Saccharomyces cerevisiae S288C: one gene and its partner. Changing the gene in region 1 together with any one later gene gives a genetic interaction. Each region holds a gene or a part of one and is shown in the gene's direction. Other genes may lie near its edges.

Region 1 (2,936 bases):
CATACCGGAGATTGCTCATACAGACCATAAAAACAACAGAAAGTCTTGTGAGGAAGATAAGCAAGCACGGTAGGTAAACCAGATATGCACATAAATTACCGCTGACTCTCCCCTAAAAGAACTATATTGATGGTCTGACATATAAGGCACCGCTGAAAAGCATGTACAATTTTAATGTCTTTGCATTTGCATAGTCAGTGTGGCGTGCATTCTCCACAGAATCTAACTAATCAAATGTATCGTGACTGGGTGTTGCATCATTTTCGCGAATAAAAAATAGAACACTGTAGAGTAGCGCAGCGCTTTTTTTTTATTGAGGCCCTTTGCAGAACCAAGGCTGCAGTCTTTTCTCTGAAGATTAGCTTTGCTAATATAAACAAATCCGTTAAGTTCTTGGGAATTTCTTTGAAGGGGGGGAGGCGGAAATGTAGTGAGTTGTTTTTACTGTGATTTGCTTTTTCTTTCGCTCATGGCTTATTTTCCTTTCCTTTTCTTCCCACATTCAATAATGCAGCGTAAATATAGAACAAGATTACTTGTTTATACGAGATATACGGGCAGTGAATAAAGTGGTACTAGAACTAATTATCAAAAAGAGTAACTGTCATTCAACATTTCTGGCTCTAGACCCAATAGGACATAAACTTTTAGATTTTTGAAAAATGGCTTGGCGCAGCACGGTAATACTAGTTGGTTTTTTAAGCCTACTTTCGCCAATAAAAAAAACTACGAAACAGTTCTTACTTACCAATATCCCCTGCCACTACACTGTACTTTAGTGAACCCAACATCACGAATAAGAAACAATAAACAATAAACAATAAACAAGTGTTGCTTTAGCTCAACTTGCCCCTGAGAAATAACAGCGCAACTATCAACAATGAATGCATAGCATGGAGTAGAGTAAAAAAGCTTTGTTTTGGCCCCGCCTAGACAAGAGGCAGCTGCGCGAAATAAGAAATTATAAACTCTTGTTTTTCTATACTGCTCTCGCTCAACCTTTTTTTCCCACGCCTATTATCGGTTCAAGGGACAGCAGATCCGCTCTGCGCACTGGAGCAGAAACATTCCCAGTTCGGTTCCGACTAAAACCCGCCTTCCCACGCGAAATTCTGGGCCGTTCAAGGCAACTTATTAGTAAGAAGAGCAAGGGGAAGGTACATTAAAGCAAGAGAACCGTGCATGAATTTATAGACATTTTTCATGGGAGGTAGGGAATTTTCAGACTTTAAGTTACACCCCATAGGGGCAAACATACAGCAGTGGTTGTTATCTTTCATTCGCGCCAGGAAAAGCCGCTACCCACACTAAGTGACGTGTAATTGCCGTTCCCTTGTTTTGAAGCACACTGAAAGCTGAAGTGATCATAAGAAAAGAAAAAAATAAATGCTGAGAAGGGTTTGCAAAAAAAGAAAGGTTCCTAGTATATATATGGAAGGCTTCGTTAGCTTAAACTTTCTACAGTCATGCATACAGCAATTTTTTTAGAGCATTACTTCTTGAGTGGCAAAAGCATTTCTTTTTTTTTTCAGTATAGGAAGTAATCACTGTAGAAATAAGTCAACAATAATTGCATAGAAAAAAATGGGTACTAGCATAGTAAATCTAAACCAAAAGATTGAACTGCCCCCAATCCAGGTCTTATTCGAGTCACTTAACCGAGAAAATGAAACAAAACCCCACTTCGAGGAACGCAGGTTATATCAACCTAATCCTTCATTTGTTCCTAGAACAAATATAGCAGTTGGTAGCCCAGTTAACCCGGTTCCAGTATCATCCCCTGTTTTTTTCATTGGTCCTTCTCCACAGAGAAGCATTCAGAATCACAACGCTATTATGACTCAAAACATACGTCAGTATCCAGTTATATATAATAATAACCGAGAAGTTATATCTACGGGTGAGAGAAATTACATAATAACTGTAGGGGGGCCTCCGGTAACTTCTTCGCAGCCCGAGTATGAGCATATCTCAACTCCCAATTTCTATCAAGAGCAGAGACTGGCACAACCTCATCCGGTAAATGAGAGTATGATGATAGGTGGTTATACAAATCCTCAGCCTATTAGCATTTCCCGAGGTAAAATGCTATCCGGCAACATAAGTACGAACTCGGTCCGCGGATCTAATAATGGATATTCCGCAAAAGAAAAAAAACATAAGGCACATGGTAAGAGGTCCAATTTACCAAAGGCCACCGTTTCAATTCTAAACAAATGGTTACATGAGCACGTAAACAACCCTTACCCAACCGTGCAGGAAAAAAGAGAACTGCTCGCGAAAACTGGTCTAACTAAACTTCAAATTTCCAATTGGTTCATTAATGCTAGGAGAAGAAAAATATTTTCTGGCCAGAATGACGCAAATAATTTCAGAAGAAAATTCAGTTCTTCTACAAATTTAGCTAAGTTCTGATTTTACTTTTTTCGGAATTACCTAAAATGGGTTTACGGCATAGAAGATAGATAGATTAAGAGGTAGGTTGACTTTTCCTTTGAAATTTGTAATTTTAATAAAAATTCCAAAAAAAAAAAAAAAAAATTCAAAGTAAAAAGACAAACTTTGGTGAGAATCTTCGATTAACAAAATTACTCCTTAATATTCTTAAATTGGAAAATGATCATGGTTATCAGTGTATTTTCTTTTACCGTGTATATCAAGTTTTATACCCCGTATAGCTTCAATATACGCACTTTTCTCAGATCTTTTTCTGCCGTCATTCCTTTCTTCCTTTTCTTTCAACTAGAAAAAGAAACGAAATCAGACCATATATCTAGTCGCCAAGCATTTTTCCCTTCTTGGATAGGAGGAGCAAAAGAAATACTAACAGTTATTAAAATGCACCATGCCCTCTGTACATCATAAACCCACTTACAGGCTTTTTTTTCATTCTCGATCAGAAGAGAAAAAAAGAAAAATATAACTCGGCAGGCTGT
Region 2 (2,984 bases), on another chromosome or scaffold:
CTAACAGCAGCTTTCACTATTTCCAGTGACATTTATGCCCGGTATAATGACCATTGCAATAACATGTATACATGTAATTCCAGGTGCATCATTTATGCTTCTGGCACTTACAGTATAGATTTTAATACCAAAAAATGGTATCAGTAATGTTACCAGCGATTTCTAACCAAATGTGACTGGTATTACTATTAGGGTATTCGATGTATCAAATGTTACTATCATTATCACTATTGTGGATATAGTATTGGGCTCTATCACGATACTCCATTTAACTCCTACAAAGAGGTTACGCTCGGATGAAATGCCTTTGTTTAACACCACAGCAGCTAACTGTGGCTACAGGGTCGAGGACTATATCTGCACTTTTATGGTCATTACTAAGAATACTAGAGAAACTTACTGTACGATACAATTCAAATGACAAAACCTCCTCTCCTACGGATTGTGCCTTTGATCATAAGATTAACAATGTCAAGAATGTTCCTCTCCTTTTAAACATCATTGGAAAATTCATTATTTAAATATATAATGAACCTGCCGACCTACTTCAACATCGCCTCCTTAGCGTATCCTTTCCGATTCTAAAAGGTTAATTTAATTGATTAAAAGTAAATTTATATTTATATATTTAGATAAAAGAAGATGATTTTAACTACACAAAAAAATAAATTAACTTACTTTCTTCTGAAAGAAGTACCTTCAGATAATTTGGCCTTACCACCGGTTGGAGTACATAAGACAGTAGAGCATGATTCACAAGTGACAGCAGTTTGAGCATGAGAAAAAACAGTGGTGATGTTCAAACAACCTGGGCATTTGACATCCAAGAAGTAGGATCTTGGGCCTTGAACCAAAGTCTTTAACTTGTGCTTTCTGGCTTCAGAAGCAGCAGTTGGGTGCAACAAATCTTGAACTAAAACCTGTAATGAAATAAATAGAAACGAAAACGAAAGTCGTTTCACAAAAAAATTGATGTTAGTAATTTGAAAACTGTAGGGTTGGGTAGGATACATCAGAAAAGTTAGAGGAGACAGGAAAAAGTGAGCATTTGTGCTCCAAAAAAAGAAGGATAAATCATTACCCAGCAGTATCCGGCATCATGATCCGCCATCTTCAACTGCTATAAGTTTCTATTATTGTTAGATTACCCATAACTCAACACCATATGCTTATCTCCACAGTAGATCTCAAATTTTCTGCTATACAGAGCCTTTCAATTCCCTATCTAAAAATTAATTGCTTTCTTTGCACGTCTTTAAAGTCTCCGTTACCAGTTTAATGCATGATTTGTTGATTTTGCGGAAACGCATACTCCTATCAAATGTCAGAGGTTGATTACTGCTTTATTTTCCTTTCTTTCTTTTTATTTTAGGCTTTTTTCTTCTACTAGAATTTCATCCGAATTCATTCCTCAAATATTGTTCTCTTCTGTTTCCTTCACATCTTATGTTTAATATCTCTTTCACATACCATATTGATCTAATATATATGCACTAATTATCTGGTGTGTTTTCGTATTCTCTAAATAAAAGCAAATGCTATATAGAACTTTTAACGTCTAATATCAATTATAGATAGTGTTAATGACTTGCAAGTTACAGCACACATGAAAGATGAGAGCATACTTACTAAACTGGGCCCAAGAAAGGTCAGCGGGAAGCAGAGGGGAATTGCTGCATTTCCCACCACGTCCTGGTGGGAGTTTCCTTTCCGAGAGCCACATTGCCTAGCTAGAGGAAGAGAGCCTTGGGCGGGGCGGATCCCGTCTAGATGGGTGGCAAACAAAAGTTTATGGTGGCCCGTGTTAAATGCGAACACACCTTCCTTTTTTCTTCTGAAATTTCCCCGGCAGATTTTTATTAAATTTTTTTCTTTATAATCCAATGGTGCATGGGTGAAAATGTATGGGCTAAATACAAGAAAGGATGTCAATATTTCTTTTTTACGCGGAAGGTTATAATAGACGTAAGTAATATGGAAAGAATTTATGGGATTTATAAAATAGATAATAAGTAGATAGCTGTCACAATGAACAGATCTTTTCACTTTCTAATAAAGTACATATATATACATGTTCTTCTTGTTTTTTATTTTCACATTAAGCAGCAGGCTATTATGCCTTTTTTTATTTTTTTCTTTTCATCATTCGACGGACTTTCATTTGACCTTCGAGTGGTAGCGTTTTTAGCCAAGCACGTTTTCGTTGGCGTTTGTTCACCCTTTTTTGTTGTAGGTTTTTTTGGTTCATCTAGAGTAGTTGTTACTGAATGGCTTTCGAAGCTTGTATTACCTCCTCCTCCAGTTTCAATAACACAGGTCTTCTCTTTGTCACGTAAGAGAGGCGAATTCTCCAGCGGATACATCTTGATTATAAACCCTTACAAAAGTTTCCTGCGATCACTTTTAGATTTTTCAATTTTCAATAATACTGCCAAGAACAAATCTTCAACATTTACATTGAACTTGGAGGATGTCTCAAAATAGTCTAAATTGCCTGGCGAGAAACCCAGCTCTTGGATAAATGTTAAAACCTTTTCATGAGTAATTGTTCTTTCCGAATCAAGATCACATTTCGTACACGCTATAATAATTGGAATATCCAATTCACATTCCAAACGTACGTGGTGAATAATACAAATATAAGACTCTAAGCTGGCAAGAGAGCTGTCATTAGTAGAATCGAAACATAATATAATTGCATCAGACTGCCTAATTTGAAGAGTAGTTAGCTCCGAAAGGTACGAAACCTCCATTTGATTGGTATCAAAAACTTGAACATCAATACTGGTGCGTCTTTGAGCAGTCGATTTATTGGCATTGATCAGGCGCTCTTCTAGGAAATTGCCACAACTTTCATAAATTGTGCCAGAGTTTTTAGCTTTGAAACCCGCATAATTCGGCAACTGTCCTTTTACGCCAAAGGTACGATAGTATTTTACCAAAGTATCAAATTGGATTGTCTTGTGGTAGAGGTCCGAAACCCT

Evidence for each region. Genes that interact genetically often act in the same process or in processes that back each other up.
Region 2: mutations in TOS8 (region 1) and ECM12 together harm fitness more than expected from each alone (negative genetic interaction), as found in Saccharomyces cerevisiae (one large-scale study listed by BioGRID).

Annotation. Positions count from the first base shown.
Region 1 is NC_001139.9:323,747-326,682, forward strand, and holds TOS8 (Tos8p), read left to right. Parts: upstream 1-1,584; coding exon 1,585-2,415; downstream 2,416-2,936.
Region 2 is NC_001140.6:147,197-150,180, forward strand, and holds ECM12 (Ecm12p), read left to right. Parts: upstream 1-2,028; coding exon 2,029-2,484; downstream 2,485-2,984. Other genes in the region: 40S ribosomal protein eS27 RPS27B, read right to left, coding at 675-920, 1,471-1,473; YHR022C (uncharacterized protein), read right to left, coding at 2,379-2,984. UniProt on the Saccharomyces cerevisiae protein: May be involved in cell wall organization and biogenesis.